Danio rerio: one gene and its partner. The protein of the gene in region 2 purifies or fractionates together with the protein of the main gene of each other region. This does not show direct contact. Links are inferred from orthologs where the notes say so. Each region holds a gene or a part of one and is shown on either strand. Other genes may lie near its edges. The genes, in order: pan3 and pan2.

Evidence for each region.
Region 1: the proteins of pan2 (region 2) and pan3 purify together in Homo sapiens (co-immunoprecipitation; 5 studies listed by BioGRID and IntAct, with this or other methods). This does not show direct contact. The link is inferred for Danio rerio from reciprocal best matches to the Homo sapiens genes PAN2 and PAN3.

What each region holds. Positions count from the first base shown.
Region 1 is NC_133199.1:25,602,274-25,609,166, reverse strand, and holds part of pan3 (PAN2-PAN3 deadenylation complex subunit PAN3), read right to left. Parts: intron 4,420-6,893; coding exon 4,298-4,419; intron 4,183-4,297; coding exon 4,110-4,182; intron 4,024-4,109; coding exon 3,953-4,023; intron 1,587-3,952; coding exon 1,442-1,586; intron 1-1,441. UniProt on the Homo sapiens protein: Regulatory subunit of the poly(A)-nuclease (PAN) deadenylation complex, one of two cytoplasmic mRNA deadenylases involved in general and miRNA-mediated mRNA turnover.
Region 2 is NC_133198.1:34,931,017-34,937,909, reverse strand, and holds part of pan2 (PAN2-PAN3 deadenylation complex catalytic subunit PAN2), read right to left. Parts: intron 5,841-6,893; coding exon 5,570-5,840; intron 2,781-5,569; coding exon 2,435-2,780; intron 1,569-2,434; coding exon 1,472-1,568; intron 551-1,471; coding exon 431-550; intron 105-430; coding exon 1-104. UniProt on the Homo sapiens protein: Catalytic subunit of the poly(A)-nuclease (PAN) deadenylation complex, one of two cytoplasmic mRNA deadenylases involved in general and miRNA-mediated mRNA turnover.

The DNA of each region.
Region 1 (6,893 bases), on a different chromosome or scaffold from region 2:
GCTGTTTTACTCCAAAGAACTCCAAAAAAAAATGGAAAGTTTTTTGGACTAGCCTATATAAGGCATCAAGTGCACTAGTGCTCTACCAGTCCCACACCATTTGTTCACATTTACACTGCAGTTCTTGATGGTCAATTCCGGTTTTGTGACTGTATCAGATTTTTTTGATGACCTGCTTACATCATCTTTTAGAAGTGACTCATATCTAATCGTCTGCATTCACACACAAAAAAAGGAGGGGTAGGGCTGATTAAACACTTGATAATAAAAGAGAGCACTTTTCTCCATTCTTGTATTTAATCTGTTCGCAGATTCATTTTTTTATTCTTTTGAACAAGTTGTTTTACTATTGTTAATGACAGAAAAGTGCTCATTTGACAAGCTGCTTTTAATCTTTAACCTGTAGGTATGTTAATGTAATGTCCATGGCGTGATTTATGCACGTGATGTATGCAACAGTTTTATATACCGTTTACGTGGCGAATGTTGCTCTCTCCCTCTCTCGCTCTCTCACATGCTTGAATACTTTTGCTATATGACAATATAAATAATTCTTGCTCTAGTATATGAAATGTAAGGTTTGGGACTGAAAATGAAATGAAAGCATCAGAGTTAATGTCATTTGCTGTGGTTTTTTAATGATACGTGACTCGCATTGGCAGGTGAAAATCCAATCTACCTGCTTACACTGCAGACAGGAAGGCACAGATCCGATTCATATCAAATAAGCTTACACATATAACCCTTTGAGCAAATCAGAATCCATGCGTTGTTTTCACATGCACCGAATCCAATCAGTGCCATTTGGGAGGAAAAAAAAAAGTCGTAATTGGGTCGCTTAAACCATGCAGTGTAAATGCAGCCTAGCGGGTTAATCGTGCTAATTGATGAACAAAAAAATATATAAAAAATTAGTTTTACCTCCTCCGAACAGAATACATGATTATTTTGTCATGGCTTTGCAATAAAAAAGTGGTTATAATACAAGTCAATGAGGCAAAAACAGCCACGAACATAACGAAAGGGTAGTCAATGCGGTATATGCACAGCTAGTGTTTTTCAGCCAATGATAAACATCCTATGAAAGCTTAATGTGACTTTTTCAATTTCACAAGGTTGCTTTTACAGCACCAATGTTGTAAAATAAACTCATATTTTAAAGACATGGCGGGGGAGACTTAAATTGAATTTAGAGCTGGTCTGAGACCCACTTTATAACGTATCTCTCTCAGGCAGTGAAGATCACTTATTTTTTAAAGATTCAGATCTTAAGCGTAGCAATTTAATAATAGAAAGTCAGTTCACCAGAAGTGCTGAGGCTGGCTGCCTGAAATTAAAAAAAAGTCCACATTTACCCCATTAGAAAAGTACACAAGGGTTAAAGGCTGACAGACATGCCAAGCAAAACACAAGTATAGATTTTTGAGATCGAGTCACTGACCAGGTGCAAGAGCGGACGCTGTGGAGCTGCTCAATCCAGGATGAGGAAAAATGGGAGAGGCGAATGCTGGCACGGTTGTCTGAGACATGGAGGCCATTCGTGGAGCCCCTTTTGGGACAAACTCACTGGCTGCAGGGTTAGGAGCCTACAAAAGACAAGGAGGAGCCTAGCTCAATATTTCAAGATGTCTTAAAGATGTCCCTTTTTAAACCACTAATGAAGAGGTGTTGTGAGGTCCTAATAATAATAATAAAATTATAATTTAAACAATTCTTTAAATTCAATGAGCTGATATTATGTTTTTATAATGAAGAGTTCAGATGCAAAAATCTCTAAGTACCATCTGAAATATTCTCCTAAAATGAGCATTTTTTTCAGCCTCCTATGTTTGTTCAGTTATTTTTCTTAAAAGGCAATGAAAAGAACTTATTCTTCACTGTAACAGTAAAATTACTCCACCTGCACAGCAGTTGAAAAAAACATTTAGAAGAAAATATAAAACGGCATTTGGGGGTTTTTGCACCTAAACTCTTCAAATGCAATTCAATAAATGTCAAATATCTGTAGACTTCTAAAAGCTTACATTACACTGTTAATTATGTGAATAATTTAAAATAAACAAAAATAAAAACAATTCCTTGAACAGTTTTCTGTCTAGTATTACATAACAAAAGTACAGTGCTGATTCAACAGGTTTCTAGGAAAAAAAAAGTCAATTATTGTTTCCGTGTGAACAGTGATTTTGTGAAAACGGTGACGTTATGCATGTGCATTATTGACATCTGCAGTTCCTTAACAACCTAAACAACAAGACGACAGAACCATATATGTGCAGATTCAGAGAGTATTTTTATAAACTGAAACAAATAAAACTACTGGCCTCAGTGGCCTGGCATGCACAATGCAACATTATTGTTGTACAATGGTTTTCGCAGATCGGTGTGAACGGGAATTGCTTTGTTGCGTCAATTCTAAACTTTTCAAAAACACAAAAGAAACACTTTTGTGCTTTTATTACATGGTTACTGTGTAAACATACACTTACAGAACTCCTGCATATGTAGGGTCTTTTCAAAAACACTTGATTCTAATTAGGCTTGAGTTTTAGGGCAATGGTTAATAAAAAAATAATTAATAAATTAAAACAACAATTATTAAAAGGAGTAAAAAAACACCTTGAAATATATTTAAATAAACAACAGCACAGTAACAGAAAGCAGAAAATATACATGTCCGCTTGTTAAGTGTGACGTCATGAGAAACTGCTTCCGGGTCCAAGTGCTCTATCAAACAATATGGCAAGACTCATTAAATGGTGATAATAAACGTTTACAAGGTGATGTAATACTTTCAAATATCACAATCACAAAACGTGCTTACTTTTTTACAAGTTGTTAAAATATTGGTGTCTGTGATGCAGCAAGTCCAGAGTAGGCATGGGCCGGAATAAGATACTGACAGTATGTTTACCTTGGATAAAAATATCACGGTTTCACGCTTTTGCAGTGTTGTGATTACTGCTCTAAAATATATTCTTTTTTAATGTCTGGGTAAAAAAAAATAAAAAATTTGAACAATTTATTTTATTTTGAGAAACATTTACAATATTTTGAAACAGTAAACATGTCAGGCTAAATAAATTATTGACTTCTGCTGTCTTCATTTGTTTCAAAAACAGATATTTTCACAATTTAAAATGGCATCTTTTCTGCTGGAGATACTGATGTCTGAAAAAACAAAAACAAGTAAATATAAAATCGTACACATATCTTAGGAACGGTATTGCAGAAACCTTGAATTTTCCTAACCGCAGAATACTTTGAAAACGGTTATCGTTCCATGCCTGTTGTGTACACCATAATTTAGTATAAAAATTCACTTCAAACGAGTAGCGGCTTGGACCAGGAAACAGTATTCTTTACGCCATGACTGAACAAGGGGATATTAATTATCAAAAACTAACTATTTTCCCAAATAATATTTTTCATTTTTTTATTATAATGTTTTCTTAATTTCAATAGAGTCTTTAAGCATACAAATAAATGTTGGCCTTTTAAAGTTTAGAATGGGGGTCCCAAGCAAGGATTATCATTTTTGGCGGTCCGCTGACTCTAAAAAATTGAAAACCCCCCGTCTTAGAGAGTGTTTACATAAGACATGTTCTTGCATTCAAAACAACCAGATGGAGCACAATAGAAGGGAACAGAGCACATTGGTCTGGACATCTCATCCAAAAATGCTATGGAGATGGTCTAAATGTGTATGGTCATCAGAAATGTAAAACTGAGGAACTTGAATCCAAATGTTTACTTTATTCCAGTGAATTTAGTCTAAAAGTTAAACCCTGTGTAAACAGAACTTCAAGCATTGCTGATAAAGTATACATTTTTATATTTTATATGTCCCTTTTCTTGTGCCCTTTTGAAAGATGTCTTTAATACAGATGCTTCATCCACTTACAAAATAATTGAACAACTACAATACAATACAAACAGCATAACTGAGACTCACCTTTCTCCTCTGCGATATGCTTAAAGCACCAAAGTCACTGAAGAGAGATGATGTTGGGGAATTTACTGGATCTAAAAATAAGAGCAGACATTAAAAAATGAATCTTTGCACAATGGCTTTATCCACCAAAAACAAAAAAATTATTGATTTTTCTCACCGTGTGTGCTGTGGCTATAGCTCTTGGCACCATCATTCAGCAGACTTGGAGAACTGCTACTGCTGGTCATCCTCTGAAAACCCAACATGTGAAGTATCCAGGTATTAATCGCCACTGTGTGTTCAATCTGGTATCTAATGGTTTCATGCACATCACCAAACATAGTAACTTGTGGTTTAAATCATCACCTGCATCATTGAATATTTGGATTCTGCTGGGCCTCCAAATCCGTTGACCCCAATAAAGGTGCTGCTGAAGTACGAGTTGGTCAGACTGGCTTCATTCAGAGCACCTCCCTCCATCCCAGGGACTGCAAAAACAACAGTTACCTTGGTGTTATATATGTATATAGATGAGCAATTCCGTGCAAATGTCAACCTTGCGATGAAAAATAAGTTTTCACCAAAATATGAAAACCATTTCTGTTTTTTTTTTTTATGTAAGCAAGTGTTTTACAGTACTTCAGAAATACTCAAAAATGCATCTGTCAATGTTTTCAAACTATTCTATTTGATTTACCAAAGTCACACAAGTTGCAATTTCACATCCGTCACATCCATAACGGAGAGATGTCACATCCATAACGACACTTTTTTCCTCAAATAAAATAAAAACCAATATTTTTTGTTTTTATAAAGAGCCAACTTATATCCTTTTGATTATCATTATGTCTTTTGGGTTGTGCAGTTTAATTCACAGAATTTTTACAAAGTATGTTGTATACTGTAAATCCGCAGACTTTTCATGTTTATTTTCCACATTTAAAGTTCAAAACATGTTTACAGATTGATGTTTTTCTGGTTCCATAACTGTTCTGGAAAATATAAACAGATGCTTCAATTTAATGTTAACACATATCTTCTATTCGGATTTATGTTTTAAGTTTTTACTGCAAATGTCACATTCATAACCCTGAAATTGCTCACATATATACAGTTGAAGTCAGAATTATTAGCCCCTTTTTAATTTTTTTTATTCTTTTTAAAATATTTTCCTAATGATTTTTAACAGAGCAAGGAAATTTTCACAGTATGTCTGATAATATTTTTTCTTCTGGAAAAAGTCTTTTTTGTTTTACTTCGGCTTGAATAAAAACAGTTATTAATTTAAAAAAAAAACATTTTTGGGACAAAATTATTAGCCCCTATAAGCTTTTTTTTTCCGATAGTCTACAGAACAAACCAGCATTATACAATAACTTGCCTAATTACCCTAACCTGCGTAGTTCACCTAATTAACCTAGTTAAGCCTTTAAATGTCACTTTAAGCTGCATAGAAGCGTCTTTAAAAATATCAAGTAAAATATTATTTACTGTCATCATGGCAAAGATAAAATAAATCAGTTATTAGAAATAAGTTTTTAAAACTATTATGCTTATAAATGTGCTGAAACAATCTTCCCTCCTGTAAACAGAAATTGGGGAAAAAAATAAACAGGGGTGCAAATAATTCTGACTTCAACTGTATGTATGCATATATATATATATATATATATATATATATATATATATATATATATATACATATATATATATATATTTACAGTGTTTTAAAAGATTAGTGTGCTTTCATAAAAGAAAGCGTCATCGAGTTTCTCCTGAATGCTAAAGCGAGGTTTTAGAAGTTGCTAGACATCATTTCCCACTTTATTATGACAATACAACGAGGCTTTTTTAGCAAAGCTTCATTGAAACACAGTAGCTCACAAAATGCATGTTATTATGTTAAAGGTTTCTAAAGATGCTTTCATCTGGCCTGTAAACAAAAGCATGTCGCTTGTTATGGCAAGCCATTTAATATATTAATACTAGTCTACTCATCTAGAACTAGGAAAACTGTGTCTAATAATGGGTATTAAAATAAAATAAATTCTAAAAGACAAGTCAAAACTGGATTACTCCTGTACACACAACAGATACACAATACATGTAATGCATGTTTTGAAAGATTGTCATATTCATCTTTAAACAAAGAATACACAATTATGCATCTTAGGCAATATTTTAGAAAGAGCTTCTAAAGCATTTTCGCATTATTTGTTACTTTTAAATTGTAATTGCACCTGTTTCCGCTTCTCTTTAGCTTTTTACCTGCAATACGTGCAGACAAATAATGTTTGCCGTTACCGGCTTTTAAAAACAGTCATGGACAGAGATATTTTTTAGGTATTCACAAAGGCCTGGAATGAGATCCAACAACATCTATAACCAATATCAACACTGAGACTTCTTAAAAAAGCCCATATTCGTCATCTGAAGGTCAACTATTGCTGTAGCCACCGAGATAATAGCCTGTCTCTCTTCATTTTGTATGTTTGGTGATTGTTTGTACTGTTCTTGTGTTGATGGACGAGATGGTAAGGGTGCCTGTATGTTTCTGTGTTCTGCAGAGCAGGAACCTGCTAAAAACAGCATTTATGCTGAATCAGGATCATCTTTTATTCTTTCCTGTTTAAAAATTTTAATAAAATAAATAAAAAGTTACTAGTAAAAACTTGAACACAAAAGTATCAGACTGAATGCTAGAAAATCTACTATTACAAATACTAGTATGAATTAATACAAGTACTAAGCTAGTACTGTCTAATTATAAATATTAACAATTAAAACGGTACAATATACTAATCAGTGCTGCATTACTGAAGCACTCACTGTTAAAAAAGACATTAGCTTGTTTTAAGTAATGTATGTTAAAACAGCTTGCCATATCTCCCAGTAATTAAAAACTGGCAATTATTGCATTTGAAAGAAAGAACAGTTTTGTATTATTTGAAACCCAATTGAA
Region 2 (6,893 bases):
CAGTAAGCGTTGGGTATGTGAGGCTCCAGACCAGCAAACAGAGTCCGATTATAGTGCTTAAAATCAAAGTCTTCCAGTCCCAGTTTGGAATATTTAATGGTCACCTGGCATAAAATATAAAAATTCTGTCACTTCAGAATGGTAGAATATTTCAGATGTAAATAACAAACATGACAATCACCACTGAGCCTCCAACACGACACTGTGATAAATGATTAATATTACTGCAGAATTAAACGAATACTACTGCAATAATAAACTAATGTGTTGCGTGCAACCACTTCCTTTACGCTTCCAAAAAAGGTTCAACATCATCTGATCTAAAAATAACTTGCACACAAACACCTGTAATGTGCAAAATAGCTCTAGTGGTGTGTCATTATTTGGATGATGCGGAACAGGATTATGCACAACAATAGCTCATCACTACCTTCCTGTATTTCTTTGGCACCATGTAAAGATGTGGCTCCTCGTCTCGACCAATGGGAGACTCCGGCACCTGATTATAGCTGTCATAGTCAAGCTCGACATCTTTTATCTTATATGGAACCTGGCAAAAAAAAAGAGGATCAAGATACTGGTTACACAGCATTACTGCACTGAAATGAATGACGCATCAACAAAAAATGACACAGCTACATTACTGTATGACATGACTTCCCTCTTACAGAATATGAAAAACAATACTGATTAAGAGTATAGTGATCATGCATGCTTAATTAGTGATACTTTTTAAAAAATATTAAAGTTCTTCATGTTTAGGATATATACAAAGAACCAACTTCGTATTTTTTCTTCATGCTTTTATCAGCAGCAGGGTGGATTACTGTAATGGACTCCTTACTGGCCTTCTCAAAAAGACAGTCAGAAAGTTGCAGCTCATCCAGAACTCTGCTGCCAGGATTTTGACCAGAACCAGAACATTAGAGCACATTACACCTGTCCTCAGGTCTTTACACTGGCTCCCAGTTACATTCAGAATAAATTTGAAAGTGTTATTCCTTGTCTGTAAATTACTTAATGGCCAAGGAGCTCATTGCATTAGGGATATGCTCATTAAATACAAACCTAACAGATCCCTCAAATCGTTAGGATCAAGTAAATTAGAAATTCCAGGAGTTCAGTGAAAGCAGGGTGAATCCGCTTTCAGCTACTGCACCCCCGTCCCCCGGTGCTGCTGGAATCAGCTTCCAGAAATGATCAAATGTGCTTCCTCCAACATTAGTTAAATTCAAACCAACACCTAAAACACATCTGTTTAGCTGTGCTTTTACTGAATGAGCACTGTGCTACGTCTGACAGATCACACTATTATGTCTTTCTCTTTTTTTACTCCTTTAAAACCTATTTTAACACATTTTAATCTGTTTTGAATCATTTTTTATTTGTTTATATTTTTTATTATATTTAATGGTATATTCTTATACCATTGTGTATGAAACTTGCCTTGCCATGTATTTTGAAAAATTACCTGGTTTCTGGGACGGGTTCTAGGATTTGGTGCGTATCCAATAAATCCCACAGTTTTCATTGTCCTCAGAATCTCTGGGTCTACTGGAGGCGCTCGTCTGACAGTGAAACAAACACATCAACATCCATAAACATCCCCAAAAAATGTCATTTGTTAAGAGATTTACTGTCCAAAAACTGTGTAAAGAAAACTGGCATGGAAAAGAGATGCAAGAAAAATTACAATAAATATACATCTCTACTAAATGAAAATACCAAAAGCATATCATAATAGATTGAGCACATTTACAGAAATGTACTGCAGGGGGCAGTATTACACAATAAGCCTCTGACACACAGGTATGTTCAGAAATGAAATATGGAATGAATATATCGTGCACATTATGAAAATATGTATTTATGCATGAACAATCCAGATTTTTTTTACAAAAATAGGCACTACACAAGAAAATTACATATTTATATATATATATATATATATATATATATATATATATATATATATATATATATATATATATATATATATATATATATATTTTTTTTTTTTTTTTTTTTTTTTTTACAAAATAGCAGTTTATCTAATCACACTTTACAATAAGTTAACATTATTTAATGCTTGTTAGTGTTTGAATGACCATTATTTGTACTACATCAATTAATCATCAAATCAGTTTAACATTTAATAAATATTTACATCCAAAATTGTGCCAAACATTAGCTAATGCACTGTGAGTTCATAAGAACTTACAATGGACAACTGTATTTTCATTAAGTAATTTAAAAGGGATAGTTCACACAAAAATAAAAACCACGTCATCCTGTACTCATTGTTATTCCAAGCAAGTTTGAGTTTCTTTCTTCTGTTTAACACAAAAGAAGATATTAGCAACGCTAATGGAAATGATGCAGAACTAATTTTTTCGCCACAGCTGCACATATAACCATTTAAGCTCAGTTATACCTGGGGCTGGGTGCGATGAGGGCGGTGGGCCAGTCAGACAGCAGAGGCTCAGTGCTGGTGAGAGGCATTGGCAGAAGAGACAGAGGCATCAGCTCGTGGTTCCAGTCCATCTGCGGCAGTGAGTCCACCAGGCAGGGCAGCGCCAGCTCTGTGTCTCTAGAGTAGCTGTTATAGGACACCTCAGGGGCGCTGGACCACAGATGCACACAGCCGCCCGAGTCCCCGAATGACAGAGCCTGCTTGCTGGAGGACACGTCAAAGCTCATCAGCAGCTGGCCCACTGTGTTGACGTGGAAGATATCAGCCAGGCTGGCCAGGCCGGTGGGCTCACAGAACTGACACTGACCTGCAAGACATTGAAGTTCACATGAATCCAAACTAACCATGTTGATTTTGTTAGCTCACATTGCTAGTTTTGTTGTGAACATTTCATCTGTGCGTGTCATTAAGAAATTTTAATCGATTAAAATTGAAAGCTTAAACTGAAATGTGAAAATGCACTTCCTGTTTGTTTTCAGTCAATTCTCAGATTATGTCTGTCTAAGGTAGTGGGCGTGGCTAACATACTTAACCACGCCCCTCCAATTGTATGTTTTAACAACAAACAGAAATGGTGAGGATGAGGTGTCTGCTAGGTTGTAAGAACTCTCCTGAATTCCTTTTCCAGATCTTTCTCAGTGAAATGATTACTTTACTACATCCAATCAGCTTGAAATTAAAGAAACAAGCCACGCCCACTGTTTACTCATTTGATATTCCGTTTCTCTAGGAACTGCATCACAATATGAAAAAATGGAGCTTCACAGCTTCTAGTTCATGTGGACTTTAAATGTTCTTTTTTTCATACTATGACACATAAAAAGTGGGCGTGGCTTGTTGTTTGTACCTCAAGATGATTGGATGTAGAAGTAAGCATTTCACTCAGAAAGATCGGGAAAAGGGTTTCAGGTGAGTTCTTACAAACTAACAGGCACTTCCTCCTCACCATTTCTGTATGCTGTCATAGCCACGTCAAAACTGAAAGTTGAAGGGGTGTGGTTAAGTATGTTAGACACACCCCAATACCGCAGACAGAAATCTGAAGTTTTTTTTATTGAAAACAAACAGGAAGTGCGCTTTCAGATTTCAATTAAAGATTAAAATGGAAAAATATTTTCTAAATGACATGCACAGATGAATTGTTCAGTACAAAACTATAGGGATGTAAGCTAGCAAAATCAATATGGTTAGTTTTGATTTCATATGTACTTTAAAGCGAGCATACAGTACTACGCTTCTTCAGAATTTTGTCTGTGAAGTTTCCACTCAAAATACCCCATGAATCATTTATTATAGCTTTAAAAATTGCCCTTATTCGGGTTTGAAAACACGTATGTTTTGTGTGTTCTTTTTAATTGCAAATGAGCTGCTGCTTTCCAAAGGAGGGAAGAGCCTATGGGTGATATTCATTCTAACACTCTCAAAACAACAAAACGAGTAAATCTCACATCCCCAAATGCTAGAAATGACCAAGTCAGAATTATTAGCCCCCTTGTTTATTTTTTTCCCCAATTTCTGTTTAACAAAGAGAAGATATTTTTTCAACACATTTCTAAACATAATAGTTTTATTAACTCATTTCTAATAACTGATTTATTTCTATCTTTGCCATAATGACAGTAAATAATATTTGACTAGATATTTTTCAAGACCATACAGCTTAAAGTGACATTTAAAGGCTTAACTAGGTTAATTAGGTTAACTAGGCAGGTTAGGGTAATTAGGCAAGTTATTGTATAACAATGGTTTGCTCTGTAATAAAAAGCTGAAATAAAACAAATAAGATATTCTCCTGAAGAAAAAATATTATCAGACATGCTGTGAAATTTTCCTTGCTCTGTTAAACATAATTTGGAAAAGATTTAAAAAAAAGAAAAAAAAAATCAAAGGGGGGCTAAAAATTCTGACTTCAACCGTATATATCATCAGTTAATGGTATTAAATCATGTTTGAATGTCTTAATAATTACTTTTTATTTCAGTCAAAGTATGTTTACATTTCCTACTATTTTGGTTAATTTTCAGTTCATTTTAATTCAAGGCAAAAAAAAACAGTATTCAGTATTACGGTTTTAATTTGACTTATTTGACTCAAATTTCACTTAAATGTAACGTAGTTTAAGATCTATGACATCATAGATTTGTATGTGAGGACAAGGTTACAAACTTTTGTTATCAGTTACTTTATTTTTTGTGATTAGAGCTTCATTTGTACTTAAAAAGTTCTCTTTAAAAGACTCTTTTATTTCAGAACTCGCAAACAGAATTTAAAATATATGTTTTAAAGCGAGGAAATTGCAATACACGGCCGGACCGTTGTTCGGCACATTCAGCAAAATCACTTCACGTGACCTACCAAGTAAAAATGTGGACAATATGAGAAGAGCCAAAGCAGAAATGAAAACAAGGTAGAACTTTTACATCCAGTATAGACATGTCAGAAGAAGCCACAAAAAATATCCTCATATAATATTAGTGAGCTTCTGAAAAATTTGATTAAGCAACAACTGAAGACGGAAGAAGAATACTATAGAATAAACAGGCAAGCTCCGAATAAAAATCCCCAAACACAAATACTATCCCACATACAGTTAAACCAAATATTATTTAGACACCTCTTCAAGATTTCTCACATTATCACAGTTAATTTGCTATAGTTTCAAAAATAGGGCCAAATTATGACAAGAACTTACAGCTAAACTAGAAATTAGAGCTAAATAATCCTGTTATTGTCAGATGAATTTTTGATAGATACAGTTTGTAATGGATTACAATCATCTATAAGACAATATTTACACAAAAAATCCCTTTTGCTTTTGTTCAGTCAGTTTTCTTACTGGTATGAACAAATGTTGGTTATAATATGTCACTTTTTATACTTCTGCTATCCTCTCCTACTTATGAAAACAATAGTATTTTGCAAAAGATACAAGAAAAATATTGTGTTTAGTGTCTAAATGTTGTGTTTGGTGTCATTTTTGACTGTATTTTTCATGAAGATTCTTCTTTATGTCATTACATTACAACTTTAACAGTCGCTTTCAGAGATAATAGCTGGATAAACATCACTTCAGACAGAGACACATGTGCATCATACCTGTTTGTGAAATGATGGCCAGGCGGGAGGTGTATGTGGGGATAAAGCGGAGGAATAGGGGGTCCACGTGGACCTGCAATGGGGTGACGGCCCTCATCATGCGCAGATCGTACACCATGAGGAACCGATCACAGGACAGCCCGTTCAGACCGCGACTTGAGAAACCACATGCCGCTAACAGGTTACCGTGAATGTCGAAATCAGACAGGCTGCCGGAGAATGCATCAAACTCGTGCTCCATTTTAAACGTGCGCAGATCACGAAGAGACACCTACAACAAACAATGCACAAATGACCATTAAGAGATTCTTTTCCAAGGATTACAATACACTTTAAATATTACGGTAACACAGTAAAGGGTGTCAATATTTTTTACGTACTTTGAAAAAACATAGGTAAGAGGAAGCATTCATAATCTATAGATTGACGTAAGAGACAACTAAATGGAAGAATAGATGCTAATTTCTTTTGTATATGCTGTGATGTTTTTCTAGTTGTTTTGGAAGATGCTGGTATTCAGCTTGAGTGCTAATTAAAGGCTTTACTAGATTACTAGGTTAACTGGGCAGGTTGGGTTAATTAGGCAAGTTATTGGGTAATGGTATTTTGTTCTGCAGTCAATTGAAAAACTCCAAACTTCCAGCCAAACTAAAAGAAACAAGACTTTCTCCATAAGAAAAATTAAAGAAAATACTGTGATCATTGCCTCGCTCTAACATCACTTGATTCTTTCATTTTGCCTTCAACTGTTTACTTTTGTGAAAATAAAATGTCACAATATGGTCAAATAATATATTCAAGTATTAATGAAGCAACATACTTATATGTATGTACCTGCACTAGTGATATTAATTTTACTATATTTTAAATGATTAAAAGCTTTTTGCTGACAAATGGGGGAAACCTGTCCTTTGAAGGATAATGAAGAAGTAAATTAAATTAAAGGAAAATAAATCAATATTTTATGGGTGAACTGTGATCCTTAACATGTCATCAAATTAAAGGCTTTACTAGATTACTAAAATAATGAGGCAGGTTAGGGTATTTAAGTAAGCTATTGGTTAAGTGTTTTTTTCTGTAGCCATTTGGGGGGAAATGGGCTGAAATAAAAACCTTCAAAATTGTATTTTTTAATGTAAAACTGCTTTTATTCCAGTCGAACTAAAAGAAACAACACTTTTTTCCAGAAGAAAAAATATAATAGGAAATACTGTGAAAATTACCTTGCTCTGTTCAACATAATTTGAGAAATATATTTTTTTTTAATTAAAAGTAAAAGTTCCTCCTCTAACCTCACTTAATTTATTTATTTTGCCTTCGAATA